Oryzias latipes: one gene and its partners. The protein of the gene in region 4 purifies or fractionates together with the protein of the main gene of each other region. This does not show direct contact. Links are inferred from orthologs where the notes say so. Each region holds a gene or a part of one and is shown on either strand. Other genes may lie near its edges. The genes, in order: cdca5, sf3b3, pds5b, smc1a and usp13.

What was found.
Region 1: the proteins of smc1a (region 4) and cdca5 purify together in Homo sapiens (affinity purification with mass spectrometry; 7 studies listed by BioGRID and IntAct, counting the BioPlex papers as one, with this or other methods). This does not show direct contact. The link is inferred for Oryzias latipes from reciprocal best matches to the Homo sapiens genes SMC1A and CDCA5.
Region 2: the proteins of smc1a (region 4) and sf3b3 fractionate together in Homo sapiens (co-fractionation; 3 studies listed by BioGRID, with this or other methods). This does not show direct contact. The link is inferred for Oryzias latipes from reciprocal best matches to the Homo sapiens genes SMC1A and SF3B3.
Region 3: the proteins of smc1a (region 4) and pds5b purify together in Homo sapiens (affinity purification with western blotting; 8 studies listed by BioGRID and IntAct, with this or other methods). This does not show direct contact. The link is inferred for Oryzias latipes from reciprocal best matches to the Homo sapiens genes SMC1A and PDS5B.
Region 5: the proteins of smc1a (region 4) and usp13 purify together in Homo sapiens (affinity purification with mass spectrometry; 5 studies listed by BioGRID and IntAct, with this or other methods). This does not show direct contact. The link is inferred for Oryzias latipes from reciprocal best matches to the Homo sapiens genes SMC1A and USP13.

What each region holds. Positions count from the first base shown.
Region 1 is NC_019869.2:20,009,511-20,013,076, reverse strand, and holds cdca5 (sororin), read right to left. Parts: upstream 2,200-3,566; 5' UTR 2,081-2,199; coding exon 1,292-2,080; 3' UTR 620-1,291; downstream 1-619. Other genes in the region: psmb2 (proteasome subunit beta type-2), read left to right, coding at 2,325-2,415, 2,798-2,920, 3,007-3,077. UniProt on the Homo sapiens protein: Regulator of sister chromatid cohesion in mitosis stabilizing cohesin complex association with chromatin. May antagonize the action of WAPL which stimulates cohesin dissociation from chromatin.
Region 2 is NC_019864.2:25,117,639-25,121,288, forward strand, and holds part of sf3b3 (splicing factor 3B subunit 3), read left to right. Parts: intron 1-774; coding exon 775-931; intron 932-2,826; coding exon 2,827-2,952; intron 2,953-3,650. UniProt on the Homo sapiens protein: Component of the 17S U2 SnRNP complex of the spliceosome, a large ribonucleoprotein complex that removes introns from transcribed pre-mRNAs.
Region 3 is NC_019872.2:9,942,232-9,945,881, forward strand, and holds part of pds5b (sister chromatid cohesion protein PDS5 homolog B), read left to right. Parts: intron 1-13; coding exon 14-218; intron 219-314; coding exon 315-429; intron 430-1,613; coding exon 1,614-1,746; intron 1,747-1,836; coding exon 1,837-1,956; intron 1,957-2,167; coding exon 2,168-2,230; intron 2,231-2,319; coding exon 2,320-2,465; intron 2,466-3,449; coding exon 3,450-3,519; intron 3,520-3,650. UniProt on the Homo sapiens protein: Regulator of sister chromatid cohesion in mitosis which may stabilize cohesin complex association with chromatin. May couple sister chromatid cohesion during mitosis to DNA replication.
Region 4 is NC_019865.2:11,923,258-11,927,664, forward strand, and holds the start of smc1a (structural maintenance of chromosomes protein 1A), read left to right. Parts: upstream 1-1,515; 5' UTR 1,516-1,761; coding exon 1,762-1,870; intron 1,871-2,403; coding exon 2,404-2,592; intron 2,593-3,043; coding exon 3,044-3,156; intron 3,157-3,361; coding exon 3,362-3,565; intron 3,566-4,015; coding exon 4,016-4,254; intron 4,255-4,337; coding exon 4,338-4,407. Other genes in the region: ribc1 (RIB43A-like with coiled-coils protein 1), read right to left, coding at 101-315, 635-833. UniProt on the Homo sapiens protein: Involved in chromosome cohesion during cell cycle and in DNA repair. Central component of cohesin complex. The cohesin complex is required for the cohesion of sister chromatids after DNA replication.
Region 5 is NC_019862.2:9,008,524-9,012,173, reverse strand, and holds part of usp13 (ubiquitin carboxyl-terminal hydrolase 13), read left to right. Parts: intron 1-785; coding exon 786-911; intron 912-1,209; coding exon 1,210-1,363; intron 1,364-1,719; coding exon 1,720-1,894; intron 1,895-1,982; coding exon 1,983-2,071; intron 2,072-3,650. UniProt on the Homo sapiens protein: Deubiquitinase that mediates deubiquitination of target proteins such as BECN1, MITF, SKP2 and USP10 and is involved in various processes such as autophagy, endoplasmic reticulum-associated degradation (ERAD), cell cycle progression or DNA damage response.

The DNA of each region.
Region 1 (3,566 bases), on a different chromosome or scaffold from region 4:
AAGCATTTTTTTCTGTGTGAGCATTTACGTGTTTATCTTAATTTTCTCTTAGTAAGATTTACATATTTCTTTATCATCTGATCATTTTGTGACTGTACATCTAAATTCATTTGATGCATTTGGTTTTATTTTTTCGCTTGAAATAAAAGTCCTGATTCTAGACTTTTGCTGCTATAAGCAAAACTGTATAATTTAGTTGGATATTATGCAAAAAAACGATTTTGATTGGTTATAGGGTTACAGTTGCTTTTGACCTTTCACCCTCAGTTTTTTTAATTGAAAGGATTCAAAGTTTTTTTTTTGTCATATGTACAGTTAGAAAACGGGTTTTCATGCTCGCTCTGATTGCCATAAGGTTAAATTAAACATAGAGTAGGATATTTACAGTACTGATCAATTTCAGAGCTTCACAAAAACAGTTTGAGACAGGATCTGATGAAAGGCCATTCAAGGCTTTTCAGTTGAATTCTTTAGCTATGTTATAGTTTATTTGTTCATATTTCCTGTGTCATCTCCTTCTGCAGCTAGTTGATATTTCACTGCAAAGTTCTAAAAAATTGTTGTTTAATATAATTTAAAACTCTTTAACTGTACAAATAAGGGTAAACAAAATAAAGTGTATGTTTAAAAAAAGATGTTTGCTTTTATTCAAATACACAGAACAGAAGAAATGTATTTAAAAGACACATATAAGATATAAACAACCTTAAATGGATTTCTCTTAAACTAGAAAGAAAAAACAAAATTAAAGAGGAAAAAGTGCTGGTTACAGATGCCATGTACTTTATTTTTCTCTAAAAACATTTGGGAAAGTTAAAAAAAAAAGAGAATCCAAACTGCAGAATAAAAGCGTCTCCAGTCAAAACCTTTAGGATAAATGTTTCTAAAGTCCAATCGTCAGAATAAAAGCTTTTTATCTTCAAACTTCAAAGTAAGAGCTGTTCAGCACCAATTTTACGACTCAAAGCTTTTTATCTCCAGACTTTTGCATAAAAGCTTTCAAGCTTCATTTCAGAATAAAAGCCTTTTAGCTCCAAACGTAATTCTTGGGGAAATGCTCCTCAGTAAACGGTTTTAGCACTTAAATTCTGCCAAAGGATAAAGTCCGGTTTAAATAAACCAAAAAAACTGAAGTTACAAACGACTAGCAAATGTGATACTGAAAATGTATTTAAAAACTATTTCACACCAAGTGAAGGAATAAAAATATCTGGACATTTTTAACATTTTCTTGAATTATTTTTATCACAGTCCTTGAGAAGCTTCCCCTGGGCTTGAGTAGAGCCAGTTTCTACTCCACCACCAGCTCAAACTCCTCCGCCTCCTGGAACTCCGCGTTCATCTGGGCGACCAGAACGTCCAGCTCCACGCCGTCGATCGGCGCCACCTTCTTCCGCCTCCTCTTCCTCTCCTTCACCACAGCCACTCCAGGGATGTTCGGGTCCGGTTCGGCCGCACCGCCGGCGTCGGTATCGAGCAGAGACGTGAAAGAGTTCAGGGCAGAAATGGAGGAAAGCTCCAGAGCGCTCCTGGACTGCCCTGCCGCCCGGTTCACCTCCGGTGTCTGCAGATGCTGGAAGCCGAACAAAGTATCGCGAGAGTCCGGGCTGTGGAGGGACTTGTCGCTCAGTCTGCTGTAGGAGCGGCGCACCTTTCGCGCCCATTCTGCGTCCTCCGGGGTCGCTGGCGGCTTTTCTGCGGGGTTTGAGGTCGGCGGGGAGGAAGGCAAGATCGGGGACGGCATCGAGGCCTGTTTCTTCTTCTTAGCCGAAGAGATGGCGGAGGCCCTGCGGTCTGGGACCAAGTCAGGAGTGGACACCTCTTTTTTCTGCCCTAGTCTGTTGCTCGTTCGCCGTGGTGTGTTCTCCTTGTCCTGCTCCGCGGAGGTAACGGTTTTTCTCGGAGCTATTTTCCTTAGAGTGATGGACCGTTTCACCGGGACGGCCTCCAGCGCGGCCATGTTTGTGTCAATCTTCCCCGGCGGTTGCAGGGTAGAACTTAGCCGCGGCGAACGCCTCCGCGGCGGGTCTATGTGTCGGTTGGACTCCACCATCACGCTGTGAGTCTCCCCTTCCTTCATGGTCAACACAGCTTGGCTGTAACCTCAAAATTCCCCCGATGACGGACGCCCTCCGCTCGGTGACACACAACAAAAACACTCCCGCGTTTCAAATCGCCCGCCCAAGTCGCGCGGTTTGACGTCACCAGTATGCGACAGGCAGCTAGCTGAACTTTTGCTGTGTAATATTCTGAGCAGACCCGGCTGTCCGCGGCTGCTTCCTCGAATTATTCTTACATTTTTTTGTTTATTCGCGTTTTTCACGATGGAATATTTAATCGGAATCCAGGGACCAGATTTTGTTCTCGTCGCCGCCGATAATGTGGCCGCCAGCAGCATAATCCAAATGAAACACGGTAAAGTAGCTCGTCGTTAGCTGTAGCATTAGCCGCTCCGCCGATTTTTATTTTAGATTTAGGGGGGTAAAGTTCAAAGCGTTTTGAGATTTTATCTGGTTAAATCAAGCTTTTATTTCCGAATTTACAGTTAATTTGTTGTTGGTTTCTTATACTTGGCCACACTATATCAAATAATCGAACCAATGAAACTAATCTGCGTTCGATTTAAATTATTTTTGCGGATATTTGCTTAAAAATCGGTGCAGTTTTGCTCCCGATTTGAGTTTTTGGTGTTTTTCTGTATAATTGGTTTTGTTCTAAAATTAGCAGATTATGCAGCCTCATGCAGGCTAACTGTGAAAGTGAAAGTTCTAAGGTGTTTTTTTTTTTGATCCACCAGATTATGATAAAATGTTCAAACTGAGCGAGAAGATCCTGCTGTTGTGCGTGGGAGAAGCAGGAGACACGGTGCAGTTTGCTGAGTACATCCAGAAGAATGTCCAGCTCTACAAAATGAGGAACGGTAGGATGGAAACTACACAGAGCAGCTGTCTGTGGTTCATCAGGGGATCAGAACAAGTCATTGATGAAACTTTTTCTCCCCTAAAGGTTACGAACTGAGTCCATCTGCAGCAGCAAACTTCACACGGAAGAACTTGGCAGACTACCTACGGAGCAGGGTAACCATGCATGAGAGCAAAATACACTTTTAGCATTTAAAGATAAACATTTCCTGAAACTGAACACTAGAGAAACATTTTGAATTTTGTACTCGTTTTCAGGGGTGTTGCTTGAATTAACTTTGTTAGGGAAACGTATTAGGGCCCCATGGACGGATGTCTTACCCAATAGCATCTCTAACACTCACAAAAAGATGTGTTCTTACTAAAATTAAAAAAAAAAAAAAATCAATTTGAAAGCATGTAATTCCAAAAATGATTGTAAAAATTAACAAAAAGAAACATGTAGGGGTTTTATTATGAGATCTAACAGAACAACAGGATACAATTTTGTCAGAAAAACACATATAGCTACTATATATATATATATATATATATATATATATATATATATATATATATATATATATAAAATAGGAAAACTACATTGATTGGTGGTGGTTAAAAGTGTGTCAAGATTGCAAGTGTTTGTGTCTTCTGTTGCAGCTT
Region 2 (3,650 bases), on a different chromosome or scaffold from region 4:
GCTTTTAATGAAGTACTCGTGGCTCATAACATTAAAGTTGTGAAGTACAATGAAGTTCAGTTGTAAAAACTTTGCTGCTTTGTATTTCAGCAGTTTATGGGGTTGTTTCAACAAACATTAGACATGTAAAAATGGCTTTTCTTAACCTTTTGTGGAATCATGATGCAGTCAGCTCCTCTTTACTCCTTTTGTCTTTTTCTTCTCTGCGTTTCTGAAAGACATGGGCTGTGTCAGAATTCCCGCCCTAATCCCCACCCCAACTACTAAAAACGATGTAGTGCGAGACTATGTAGTGCAATTCAGACACCATTCTCACTACTTTACTATATTTGCCGATTTAGTGAGCATCGATGTACACAGGTTTTTTGCAGAGACTTCTGGAAAATTTCTAGATTTCTAGATTTTGGAATTATAGATTCAGACAGCAATACAAAATGAACGCACTATATAGTGCACTATGTAGTGAGTAGTGAACGAATTCAGACACAACCATAGACTCAGATGTTTAGTTTCCTTATATTTAAAATATATTTATTTAAAATACAAGCAGCATTTTTACTGCAAAACAAAAATTGATTAAAAAACTAAAAAAATTCACTTTTTTACATATGTAAAAAAAAAAAGCCTCCTTGGTGCACATTTTTTTGTTCCTACGGATGTGGTCACATGACCAACGGCTTGTATTTATTTCCTTTATATTATCAACAATAAATATAAATGTTGATTCTCTGTGACAGCTCTACATGCTCTCATGTATCTTTCCCTTTGTTTCAGTGTGGCAGTGTGCCGCTTCTTAAACACAGGAGACGACTGGTATGTTCTAGTGGGAGTTGCCAGAGACATGATACTCAACCCCAGGTCCGTGTCTGGAGGTTTCATCTACACCTACCGACTCACAGGTGGAGGAGAGAAGCTGGAGTTTGTGCACAAGGTGAGGTTGAGTTTCTCTGCTCTGCTGAGTTGAAAGTTTCCCCGTGTGTTGAGACCACAGCTGAGCATCCCATGTTCACCGCTCTGTTGGCGTCACACTTTTAAAACTCGACAGCTTTGTAACAACACCATGGCAGGATGTTTCTGCCCCAGTTTCTGGGGCGATTCCCAAGAAACAGGAGCAGGGTGGAGACGAGCCAAGTGAATCAGCTTTCAGCTGTTTGTTACCTGATGTAGAAGAAGAGGCAGTCTGTTTCCCAGCGGTCTCGGACACTCCACACTGACTCAGAGGGATTTCCCCACCACTTAACCACACGTGATGTTTTTAGGTGATTCTGTCTGGGCACAACACTAACGTCTTAAGCACGCGCTCACATTCAGCTTCAGACACTTTTAATATGAAACAAAAGTCTTCCTCATCCGCTCGTTTTGTATTTTGGGATATCTAAAAAAATGTTGACATAATTTGTCTCAAATATTTGTTTTTTTAAGTATCTTAGACTTTTATGGACAGTATGCTTTTATGACATGTTGTGCAGCAGTTTTAGTCAAGTCTGAGTGATGTTTGTGATGCATGAACCGCAACGGCAGCTAAAGAAAAACTGTCATCGTGGGTAAACTCTTCATCCTGTCTGCCTTGTCTACATACAGTCCTTTCCTGATTAACTTTGGGATTAGCTTTACATGATTAACACGACCCACAAAGACAACCAAACATCTATCTGTAAAGCTGCTCCTTTCTCTATGTTCATTGTATTTATAAAAAAGCCTAGATCCATTTATTTTGTGTGTTGAATTTGTTTTATTTATTTTTTTAGTTTGTTGCTCTGAAGAGAAATTTGAGATATTTCCAAGTTTGTTTCTTTTTTTTAAGATGAGCTATTTGTAATCAATAACTGTAACTGGCACGGTCACTCATGGAGTTGTTTAGAATTGATCACATAAATCAAAACTGCAGGAATGTCCATAATCACAAATCAAACCCAGCAGATGAGTAAATCAGCGTTCTTTCAATGAATTTGTGTAACCCTCAAAAGAAAAGGAGGTAGTTTTTATAGAAAGTAAAATGTATCTCATAAATGAAGCACTTTCCTTTTTTAGCTTCTGTCTTGAACACAAATGCCAAAATTCTAATTCTTTTTGAAAAGCGACAAAATTCAAGCTTTTTCCTGCAAATTTTAGTTGAACACAGGACGATGATTCGCATCATAATGTGTTTGATAAGGACACACATTTTCTGCCTCTTTTGAAATTTTCAAACATGCCAGATCAAACTTTACAACCATGTTGTGATGGTCTGAAACAGGCCTTCTCAATAAATCACAAATTCATCGTTATCGCAATATCAAGCTGTGCAATGCGCATTTTACTAAAGACGACAGAAATTGCAATAAACGGTAACCTTAAATTTGCTAAAACAATCTTATGGCAGCTTGAAGTATTTAACGAATCAAATAAATCCCTTCATGCATTTGACCAATCAGATGCCTTCACGTTGTTGACCAATCAGGTGGAGCTCTTTGATGTAAGATATAATTAAAGTTATGTTGACTTTTATTTAAATTAAACTTGCTGTGAAATGAAAATGATTTTCAATTTGTTCATGTATCTCAAGTTATGTCATTGCAATACTGAACACTAGTGTCTCAAATCCAGAGTTTTCCTTAAATCGTGAAGCCCTAGTCTGAAATCTAAATTGTGTATCGTTTGCTGATTTGTGTCTCGCCATGGGTCAGTTGTGTTAACAGCTGCTGCTTCACAAAAAATTACTCAATTTTCAACCGTCTAGTTATATAAAACTAGACAGTTTCCTGGGTTGTCTTCACCCTGAATGCCATTTTCTGTTTGTTGTACCACAGCTGAAGAACTGTATCTTCTCTGCATTGTTCATAACAGACTCCAGTAGAGGACGTTCCTCTGGCCATCGCTCCGTTCCAAGGACGGGTTCTAATCGGAGTTGGAAAACTTCTTAGAATTTATGACCTGGGGAAGAAGAAACTTCTTCGTAAATGTGAGAACAAGGTAAGAGCAGGTCTTGAGTCATTTGATTGAAGAGTTTATCACTGAGACCCCTTTGTAGACCCACTCCAGTCATCTTTATATTTTCAAAGCATTCCCAGTGCTCTTTTAATTATGATGATGTCGTTTTAAGGCAAAAATACCTGTTTTTTTCTGGGACATAGTTTCTGCAGAACAGCAGGAGTTCATTAGAAACTAGCAACTGAGTTGTGGGCAAGGGTTATTGGCGCGGAGCAACCCCGCCCCCTTTCCCCTCCCTGCTGCTGAGAGCATGAAGCAGGGAGCTTGTTGCCTGCCTTGTATATTTTTTACAACATAAATCAGCTCTTTTTCAAACTGCATTTTCTTTTAACTGTTCCTGATTCACAACAATTTGAATAACAAAACACTCAAATAAAAAACTAAGCTTGTCTTTCTTTAAATATGTCCATCTGAGCATAAATACTCAGAGCAGCACAGGTTGATTTAGGTTTGATTTGGAATGATTTCAGGCTTTGTTAGCAGCTGCAGTTTTACGGTTTCTATTTAAAGGTATCAGATCTGTGTGATTGTCTTATAGTATTGGTTTAGTTCTATTTTTAATGGTACTGACGGTAATACCGTTGTTTCTTAACAAAAGGGTATGTCTTCCCATTTTCTAAAAGGAGCGTCTCGGCTGGCTTCATTGTCATCAATGCTTTTGTAAAACTTGTCACTTCGAG
Region 3 (3,650 bases), on a different chromosome or scaffold from region 4:
TTGATCTTCCCAGGATGAGTGCTACCAGGTCCGACAGTGTTTTGCCCAGAAGCTTCACCGTGGTCTGTGTCGCCTCCGCCTGCCGCTGGAGTACATGGCCGTGTTCGCTTTGTGTGCCAAGGACCCCGTTAAGGAGAGAAGGGCTCACGCCCGCCAGTGCCTGGTGAAAAACGTCAACATACGGCGAGAGTACCTCAAGCAGCACGCCGCCATCAGCGGTGAGGAACTGCAGGAAACCCGGCGAAGCTTTCCCCGGAACAACACTGGACCTTTAAGAGTGAAATTTGTTTTCCTTTCTTTGTGTTTACCAACAGACAAGCTGCTGTCTCTGCTGCCGGAGTACGTGGTGCCGTACACCGTACACCTACTGGCACACGATCCAGACTACGTGAAAGTTCAGGACATCGAGCAGCTGAAGGAAATCAAAGAGTATGTTTCTATGGGTGGATTTTAGAAACAGAAATAAGTTTGATCATGTCACACGGCAATCAGTGCTGGATTCATCATATTATTGCCATTAATTACCATGCAATTAACTGCCAGAACTCCACTGATTCATAAATATGTTACTGAGACTGTTATAGACTGAATCACGTGTCAAACTAAAGGCCCGCGGGCCAAATGTGGCGAGAGACATAAACGTTTTTAATTTCTTAGAAGAAAAAAATAAAAATTGGTGTGTATTTATTCATATCTTCGGGGAATCAGACTTGAAATATCGGATTGGTCTACTATACGTTAGGACTTAAGGACTTATGATAGAGTAACAAGCAAACATGTGTTTTCTATGCAACTGCAATTGTCACTTTAAAAAGTTATAGTAAATAAATAATGAGTTATTTAACATTCAGGAGTAGTTACATTTATTTTCAATAACATTTAGTTACATGAATAATTTATTGCTGGCCCTTTGAGGACAGCCACTATGCTGATGTGGCCCTCAGTGAAAATGGGTTTGACACCCCTGGACTAAATGTAATCTATAAAAAGAGCTGAATGTTTCTTAAGAATTTGTGGAAGTCCTAGGCAAATATTACAACTTTAAAATAAATGTCATCGTATTAATTTTTATAATTTTCCTGTTTGGACATTCTATGTGAAATACTGAAATTGGCGGCAGACACGAGTTGACCCTTTAAACGCCAGAACTGTTGCCGGTGACACCTAAATATCACACGCTCTTTGACGAGCTGTAACTCTTCAAGCGTTTAGGCGATCAACGTAAATCAGCTTATTCTGATGAAGAGAAGAGCAGCTTTTCATATCGACTTTGCATCGATATGCAGAGCTACTTCTCTCCACAACAGTCAGCTGATGTGTTCATTGTTTAAGCGCTTCGCTTCTGTAATACGTTGAATATCAGCGCATTCAACACTTCATACCATTTCTCTGCTTGGGTGAAGACTAGAAAATCCGGTTTATTAAGCTGCTGTTTTTTTTTATTAGTTTCTATTATCATTTTTGGAATGTTTTTTTTTTTACAGGGATTGAATTTTTATGAATATTTGTTTTCCTTTTTGGTTTGTGTTTAGGAGGTTGAGCCAGAGCAAAGTATTTTTAGATTTCTCTGTCTCCGCTTTTTGCGCTGACTCGACTCTGGTGTGTCTCCTCAGAGCTTTATGGTTTGTGCTGGAGATCATCATGGCCAAGAACGAGAACAACAGCCACGCTTTCATCAGAAAAATGGTGGAAAATATGAAACAGACAAAAGACGCCCAGGCTGCCACTGATCCCAAAAGCAATGAGGTACGTGATATTTATGTGAATCCAACTTCACTGAATATGTATTGATCCCGTATATAATTCTTTGCTGATCAGATGTTTTCTTATTTCCAGAAACTGTACACGGTGTGTGACGTAGCCATGAACATCATCATGTCAAAAAGCACCACCTACAGCCTGGAGTCGCCTAAAGACCCGGTGCTGCCTTCACGCTTCTTCACCAAACCAGACAAGGTTAGGATCTACGACCCAAGAGTTTTGCAGCAAACTCTGCTCAGAAATGTAGTTTTATGGGTAGAGTAAGTTCAGAGGTTTTGAACTCATCTCTATTGTAGTTGATACGAGTGAACTGCTTTTTATGGATTCAGTTCATTTGTAAAAAAAAATAAGACAATATAACAACTTTTTTGGAAAGCTCCAACAACAAATTCTGTTTTCCCCCCAGAATTTCAGCAACACTAAAAACTACCTTCCCCCAGAGATGAAGGCGTTCTTCACACCAGGAAAAGTAAATGTCATAAACCCCTAAAAATGTCGGCGGTTTATCACCCGTGAAGCTAAAAACCTTTTCAAATTGCTGTCTGTTTGTCGCTTTAGCCCAAGTCTGCTAACGTTTTGGGGGCGGTAAACAAACCGCTGTCATCGGCGGGTAAACAGCTGCAGAGTAAAGGCTCCCGTATGGAGACCACCAGCAACAACGACTCCTCGTCCAATCCGGGCTCCCCACAGCGCACCAAGAGCAGGTATGATGGGAGAAACCCTCCGACTGTAAATGACAACTGGACTGACCGAGTGAGTGAGTCTGACACGACCCATAGAAAATGGTTTTTCGACGTTGTCACTAAAAAGTGATTGGTCAGAGTTTGAATCAACGTTTCTATGGCAACCACTCTTGCCAATCAGGAGTGAGCTGGTTTTAAGGGGGCGGTCAATCAATTGTTTTGAGCGTTTGACATGAGACCACATACTTTTATTGAGGCACCTGATTGGTCAGTTTATCTTAGGGATACTGAAAATGACAGACGACACGGAAGCATGGACCGCGTCATCCGTTCATTTCTGATAATGGAAACCTCAAGGAGCATTATCCCGCTTAAACCATGGTCATCTACGAAAAAAGTGTGTATTCAATCAGAATTTAATACTTTAAGATGGTTATTTTTTTAGGTTTAAATAGTTTTTTCACAAAAAGCTAACTATCTGATAGGTGGTTCGACTGCAGCGGCAAAGGAAAACGATGATCCTCATGATGCGTTAAAAGCATCAGGTCAGAGAGAAAGGTCACCGCTTACGGCTTGTTTTTGTCCAGAAGATGAATTAAAAGTTAATCCCTTCTTTTAGAATCTTATCTCTCTTTTCTACTGCTGCATCGCAGTTTTGCAGCCAAACAGAATGGAGTATTCACCTGGACCGTGGTATAGAATGACTGAGTAATAGCTGTTTATTTCTCATTAGAAATCTTTGGGATTTTGGTTTCTTGGAGGAGCCAGCTGGTACTTCCCCTTTTTTTGGGGGGGGGGGGCTTTCAGTCCAGTTCTCATATACAGCCTCATCTGACGGAGCCCAGAGCTTGTAGCAGCCAACACTAATCCAGACTTTGTTTGAATTTGTAGTAAACAACAGTTTGATAAAAAGTTTGTGACAAATCCTCTATTAGCCTTAAAAGAGTTGCTGCTTTTCTCCATTGCTGGATGTAGAATAACAGCTGATAAATGCTTTTGTTTCAGGCACGACAGCACAGAAATGGACCACAGTGAAAATGAAGACATCTGCCTGAAGAGAGCAGACAGTGATAAGGTATTTCACTTCACATGTATTTACCTCAGGAATCGCCAACAAATTATCCCTTTTTTCATTTGAAAGTAGAGTTTGTGGCTTTTAATGATGTAGAGATGAGTTGTGGTGGATGTGCTTTCATATTTATGCTC
Region 4 (4,407 bases):
TGATTTACGAGGAACATTGTGACCTACTTAAACATTCACATCCCTTTACTGTCTCTGGTTTCTAAGCAAACAACCATTCCACCTCACTCAGTAAACCTACCTGGAATCTCTGCATACTGGCAGGTCCCAGTTTGGCCTCCGGAGTGGTGATGTCAAACGCCCCCTTCAGGCCATTCTGTAAACCAGCATTTTGTGTGTCTAATCGCTGCTGAGTGGCCCAGTAATGAGTAAGGTCCTTTTGCAAAGCTCGTCGTTTTTCTTTTTCATTGTTGTCTTGTTGTAGTAGTGCTTCATCCTGACTTTTTTTCAGTGTTTCTACAATGCAAAAAAAAAAAAAAAAAAAAAAAAAAAAACATTTGTAGAAAGGAAAAGAGATCATTCTGCTGACATCCGCTATTTTAGAGACAGAAGCTGTCTTCCCATCATTTGAAATACAAGCAAGTAAATCACATGGTCATAGCAGGTCCATCCTATTGCATATTCATTGATTTTTAGACGAATTGTAACAAAGTACATTAATTGCATTTGTTTATCAAGAGTTGAAATTAGATGGTATTACGACATAGAACAAAAAGATTATTGCTTTACTAGATAAAGTTCCTAATTTCTTAATAGTGTAATCACGTTTCTTTACCGAGAGCATTGCTCTGTAGTTTTTCCAAGTTTTCTTGTTGCAGTTTCTCTTTAACTTGTTGGTTCAGAGCATCTAAGTCAAGGCCCATCACACGTAGTCGAGTGTTGAAGATGCGAGCTTTGCGGGCTGCCTCAGCAGATCTTCGGCCTTCCACAGCTTTTGTCAGAGACTGGTCTTGTCGGGCGTCACCTTTGAACATGTTTGGTTTCTAAACTGTCTCAAATCCTGGTGAGAAGGAATTACATATATTGGTTTATGAAAGAAAAAACAGAATGGTGCTTTCCACTATTTAATTAAATGATGAAAGGTCATGCTGTTTATAATTCCGAGAGAGTAGTTTGTTAGATATACATAAAATGATGAAAGAAAACTATCTAAATACTAACAGTAGTTGTTTTCAGAGTAAGGTTGCTCTTGGGAAAAGAAAAAATACAAAACAATACCTCATAAACTATTTGAAAATATTAACAGTAGTAATTTTCAGTGTTATATTGCTCTGGGAAAAACGAAAAAAAACTAAAAACAAGACAATACTCACCTCATAAATAGGCCGCGCAACAACAGCTAATCTCAGTGTTCAAATCCAACAAGCAGTGTTTGGAGGGGGAGCATTGGTAACCAAGGAAACGTCTTGTAGTTTTTTTTCTCCAAGAGAAATGGACAAAAAATAATTACTGCTGATGTTAAAAATCGTGAAAACGAAAAATATTTAAAATCATTTCTTAACCAAAATTTATGTATTTAATTGTGAAAAAAAATGTTAAAATTTACAAGGTACAAGGCGTATATGTATATGACTACAAATCCCAGTTATGTCGATGCGTCGCGAGAACGCACGAGATTAGGCATTTCGCGCGATTTAGTATCTTCCTGCGAGATTGTAAAATGGCGCTTTGTTTTCACTAATGCACCGAGTTTATTTGATAAAGATTTTATCTATATGATTTTGTTTACGTAAACGTACTTCTCATAATGTAAATTTCTACTGCTAGCCATCGACCTAAAGCAACTACTTTTTCATTTGCGAACGCATGAGTCTGTAGCATTAGCTTACTAGCATTTTTTCTTCGCTAAGCTAACATTGACCGTGCAGCTGTTTTCCCAGTCTGCTGCACAAATAAAGAAAAATGGGTTATTTAAAACTCATTGAGATCGAAAATTTTAAATCATATAAAGGAAGGCAGATTATTGGACCGTTTCATAAATTTACTGCCATAATCGGACCCAATGGATCGGGTAAGTTATGCCCAACAGTTCAAGTCGCTGCTGCTAACGGAGAAAAAATATATATTGCTGTTATTATGACGGTGATCTAACCCTAAATTTTATTTTGTGTTACCAAGCAGCTTTTGCGAAGAGAGTGCATGTTCAGACCATTCCTACACTTTCATTTGCACTTATTGGTCCTATCTTAAAGCCCACAAGATTTGGGTTATTATAAAATAATTACCAATTTCCCACAACTGATTCTGTAGAGTTTTCTTATTTGCAATATTTTGATTTTTTTGAATTGATATTTTTTAACCACGAGAGTAAATGAATTACTAAATTACAACATACATTACAAATTAATGTCATACCATCAAAAATACTGTTGCGTATCTGTTTCTCTTTATATTTTACTCAAAGTACACGTCTTTTGATACCCTAGTTTATGTGAAAACACAAGAGAAAATTGATTATCTGTATTTCTAAAAGTTGTGTATTTCTGTAAAACTACATTTTATTACAACTTCTCTAACTAGATTGTCTGTATGCTTTTCCCAAAGGAAAATCCAACCTTATGGATGCCATCAGCTTTGTGTTGGCAGAAAAAACCAGTAATCTGCGTGTGAAGACTCTGAAGGATCTAATCCATGGAGCGCCTGTAGGAAAACCAGCTGCAAACAGAGCCTTTGTCAGCATGGTTTACCAAGAAGATAATGGCGAGGAACGCACCTTCACGAGAGTTATCATAGGTAAAAAAAAAAAAAAGAAGAAGAAAAGAATAGTATTATTAACACATTAATTCTTTCAAATGCTCACCTATTCACATTTGTGTGGGGATTTTAATAAGCAAAACATTATCTTTGCAAGTAAATCACAAATAATAAGTTCAATACTGTTTTGCTGTTGTGTAATATCAGCCCTTTTGTCTTTGTCTGTCTGCTTTTAGCTGAGCATAACTGGGATATTAGAATTTTTGCAAAAATACATTTACTTGTCACTTGACACAGAAAAAGTTTTTATTTTTTATTTAACTTCGCATGTGTTCATCTACTGGTTTTTGACGGAAAAATCTGATTCTAAACAATCATATTGCCTTTCTTTGAAATATTTTATTATGATTCAACAAGGAATAAAAAAAAAAAGATTTATTTGAATTTAGAATTTCTTTTTTACGTGACTACATTTGGGGTTTTGTTGCAGGTTCTTCTTCTGAGTATCGGATCAACAGCAAAGTTGTGGGTCTGCCAGATTATAGCGAAGAGCTGGAAAAACTTGGCATTTTGATCAAGGCCCGGAACTTCCTGGTTTTCCAGGTGAGACCAAATGCATAGCATGCCCTTTCTATGACTGTTGACTGATGAGACAGTGTTTGTACTGACGGTTGTCTGCTCCATTACGGTATTTTTTTTTTAAACACATCCACTGATGTGAATCCTGTGAATTTTATTTTTCTTCTCTTAAAACAATTTTGGATTAAATTGGTTTGGCATTTAATTTATTTCTTCTTTTTACTAAAAGGGAGCGGTAGAGTCTATTGCCATGAAGAACCCCAAAGAGCGCACAGCCCTGTTTGAGGAAATCTCCCGCTCAGGAGAGCTGGCCCAGGAGTATGATCGAAGGAAGAAAGAAATGGTGAAGGCAGAAGAAGACACACAGTTCAATTATCATCGGAAAAAAAACATCGCCGCAGAACGCAAAGAAGCCAAGCAAGAGAAGGAGGAGGTATGTCTCTGTGACGATAAAATAATGTGTACACATTTTTCTTGAAAACCTTTTTTTTAAAGGAATTGAAAAGCATTTTTATTTTGTTTGCCCGGAAAACTGTGTAAGATTATAACACATGTCATGCCTTTGGTTTGTACCTGTTATTACTGTTCTATGGAGAAAGTTGAACTCCAATCTGGAACTTTAATTTGTGAAATACTCACTAAAACAAAAAAGCTAAATTGCTTTTATGGCAGCATAGTTTGTTAATTATAAGATATGGTGTAAACCAAATAAATCCAAACAGCGTATATTATTTCATGTAATCATTTTTAATATGTGGATTCTATTTACAGAAGACATTTTAAACTAAAGTGACCTATAAAAGATGGACGCAGTGATGATGGACAAAACTCATGAAAGTTTTGTTGTGATCATGTAGTTTGTGTCTTTTGATCTCTCTTTAAGGCTGAGCGTTACCAGCGTCTTAAGGATGAAGTTGCCAGGGCCAGTGTTCAGCTCCAGCTCTTCAAGCTCTACCACAATGAAACTGAGATTGAAAAGCTCAACAAAGAGTTGGGCCAGCGGAACAAGGAGATTGACAAGGACCGGAAGAAGATGGACCATGTGGAGGAAGAGTTGAAAGACAAGAAAAAGGAGCTGGGCAGAATGATGAGGGAGCAGCAGACCATCGAGAAAGAAATCAAGTCAGTTAGCTCCTGGTGTTTCTACATCAATTATCTGGGGTTAAATTCTTAATGAAATGCTAATCATATCATTTCGCTCGCAGAGAGAAGGATTCTGAGCTGAACCAGAAGCGGCCTCAGTACATCAAGGCCAAGGAGAACACTGCTCACAAG
Region 5 (3,650 bases), on a different chromosome or scaffold from region 4:
CTCTGTGTATTTAGTACTTTATGTACATTTCTGGGAGGACACAAACAGTTTTTTTATTTGTCTATAAACAAACAGCTGGTAGATTTCAGTTATTATGTAAAGATGTTCTGCACAAAACAGGGATCAGTGCAGTGGGAAATGCAAAGTTTTTCTAAAAAAGGGTTTCAAAAAACTACATTTAAGATCTTAAAGTCTTTTAAGATCTTTTAGAGGCCAGTAAGCTCAGCTGGTTTACAGCGTGGTGCTTAAGAACGCCAAAGTTCTGGGTTCAATCCCCATAATGGCCAAAAACAAGCTCTTGGGCCTGCCACGGTCTGGGGGCCTGCATAGGATCTCCCCAGCCTTCGCCCACAAGTGGCCGGGATAGGCTCCAGCAGCATTGTGACCCCGAAAAGGAACTATTGCTTTAAAAGATTTATGAATGAATGAAGAGTCTTTTAAAATGTATAAAAGTGCAAATAAATATATATTTTTTATTTTTATTTATTTTTTAACCATGACTTCTATTGGGGTCAACCAAAATGAGAAAAGTATTATTTTTATAAATATATTTTTTAGTAAATACAAATCGAGTAACTTAGTTTAATAAAAATAGATATTTTTTTTCTATTTACAGCCTCTGTGTTTACACAAGACACACTGTGTAATTAGAGCCAGAAATATGTTAATAATTTTTATTTGGATTAGGTTTTTTTTTTAGAAACTCGAAGAACAGTTTGTGTTCACAGTGTCTAGCGTTGACTGGTGGTTTTCTTGTGAGGCTGATGTCTAAATTCTGATTCCAGCAGCAGCAGAGGGGCATCTCTCCTCGAATGTTCAAAGCTCTGGTGAGCAAAGGACACCCGGAGTTTTCCTCCAACCGGCAACAAGACGCCCACGAGTTCCTCCTGCACATCATCAACCTGGTGGAGGTGAGGGAGGGAGAGGAGGGAGGGAGGCTCATGCATGGATCCACAGAAAGTCAACCTCATTTTGTTGTGTGAAATTTGATAAAAGAGCTTATCTGAAAAATGTATTCTATTTTGAAATAATGCAAAAAAAGTAACCCCAACCAGAATCACAAATAGAAAAACACGTGTAAAAAATTTATTAATTTTCTGTGTCCTCTATCATTACAAAATGCCACAAAACAGGGCTTTCATTGGACTGTAAGTATTTTACTCCTCACCATACTGGATGAAGAGCCTGCATTCTGTGTTGTTTCTGCAGAGGAATAGCACAGGCTTGGAGAATCCCAGCGACAGCTTCCGTTTCCTGGTGGAGGAGCGGATTCAGTGCTGTCAGACTCGCCGCGTTCGTTACAGCCAGCGAGTCGACTACTGCATCCAGCTGCCGGCTCCCATCGAGGCAGCGACCAATCGAGGTGAAGGAGGAAACATATCTCCACAGCAGTGCATCTGCTCTGATAACACGCCTGCTGTGGATAAAACAATTGCTATGAGAATGAATGGCACCTGCTGCAGTATTGGTAGAATCGCTCTGAATGCAAGTGTTGCAGATGGTTTAGTCATGTGTTGATAATTAATTGTGGTGTGAACCAGAGCTGTCAGCCTTGCTCATTATTTTCTTGGGTTGACAACAAATAAAGCTGAAGAAGCGAGCATAATCACTTTGCGCTGCTGTAGTATAAAGCCTCAGCTGATTTAAAAAAATAAATAATTATCAACATGCCAGTTTTTGAGGAGGTTTCAAATTTAACCGTTTCCTTTTTTAAACCAGAGGAGCTGCTGGCCTACGAGGCCAAGCGGAAAGAAGCTGAGGAGAACATGGGGACTCCTCCTGAACCAGTTCGGGCACGGATTCCTTTCACCGCCTGCTTACAGGCCTTCACAGAACCAGAAAATGTCCCGGACTTTTGGAGCTCAGCGCTGCAGGCCAAATCAGCTGGAGTCAAGTAAGCATATGCTTTTTTTTTTTCTTTTTCTTTTTAATAATCATGTCTTTGTTGAGGTAAAAACTCTTTTTTTTTTCTGTTTTTGTAGAACGTCCCGTTTTGCCTCTTTTCCGGAATATCTGATTGTGCAGATCAAGAAATTCACATTTGGAGTTGACTGGGTGCCGAAGAAGCTCGGTAACTAATGTTTTCATGCAAAGATGATTGGAGTGATGATGTCTGCATTTCACTATCCACCAATTCTCTTAAAGGGCCTATATCATGCTTTTCTTAAGCCTTACAGAGGAAACTAGATCCATATTTATGATCATATATTACCTTTGGCCCACGAAAGAAAGATTTTTTTTTCTGAAATATGAGTTATTTTTGCAGCTCATTTCTCCTACTTGGAAGTGAGATGACTCGATCTCTGAGGCACCGCCTTTCGCTCCTTGTGGGTGCTGCTAATTTCAGGGAGGCAACCTGGAGACGGCCTTTTCGCCCACGAAAAACAAACATTTGAACTTTTGCAGAGATGGATGTGCATAATGTGCACAGAAAATGATAGCGTTTAGCCGATCACCGCTAGCTCCACAGAGAAAGTGGTCGTGTGTGTTGGCACACTGGCACTGGCAGCACAGACTCTTTCTGGAAGGGGCTAGAGGAATGCTCAGAAATACATGAATGGATACAGCTTTGGCTTTGTGTTTTGTGAGTAAAGGCAATTATTAAACACTTAAAAGCTAATATATATATATATATATATATATATATATATATATATATATATATATATATATATATATATATATATATATATATATATATATATATATACATTTTGTGTGGTTCTTTGAAGGCTCTTTGAAGTGTGTGTAGTACTGAAAACACCCAGCAGAGGTCACTACTAGACTGTAGTTATATAAAAAAAAAAAAAAACTTGCCCCTTTCACCCTTTCGTGGGTGGTTTCTCACTCAAGCTCGGGTCCTCTACCAGAGGCCTGGGAACTTGAGGGTTCTGCGCAGTATCTTAGCTGTTCCTAGCACTGCGCTTTTCTGGATTGAGATGTCTGAGATCTTTCCAGGTATCTGTTGTAGCCACTCCTCCAGCTTGGGGGTTACTGCCCCGAGTGCTCCAATTACCACAGGCACCACTGTCACCTTCATTTTCCAGGCTTTCTCCAGTTCTTCTGTGAGTCCCTGGTATTTCTCCAGTTTCTCATGTTCCTTCTTCCTGATGTTCCCATCGCTTGGTACTGCCACATCCACCACAACGGCTTTCCTCTGTTCTTTATCCACCACTACAATGTCTGGTTGGTTCGCCATTACCATCCTATCAGTCTGGATCTGGAAGTCCCACAAGATTTTTGCCCTTTCATTCTCTACCACCTTCGGGGGTGTTTCCCATTTTGACCTTGGGGTTTCCAGTCCATATTCTGCACACATGTTCCTGTATATTATTCCAGCCACTTGATTGTGGCGCTCCATGTATGCTTTACCTGCCAGCATCTTACACCCTGCAGTTATGTGCTGGATTGTTTCAGGCGCCTCTTTGCACAGCCTACACCTTGGGTCTTGTCTGGTATGGTAGATCTGAGCCTCTATTGCTCTGGTTCTCAGGGCTTGTTCCTGAGCTGCCAGGATGAGTGCCTCAGTGCTGTCCTGTAGGCCAGCCCTCTCTAGCCATTGGTAGGACTTCTTGATATCAGCCACTTCAGTTATGGTCCGGTGGTACATCCCATGCAGGGGTTTGTCCTCCCATGAGGATCTGTCCTCC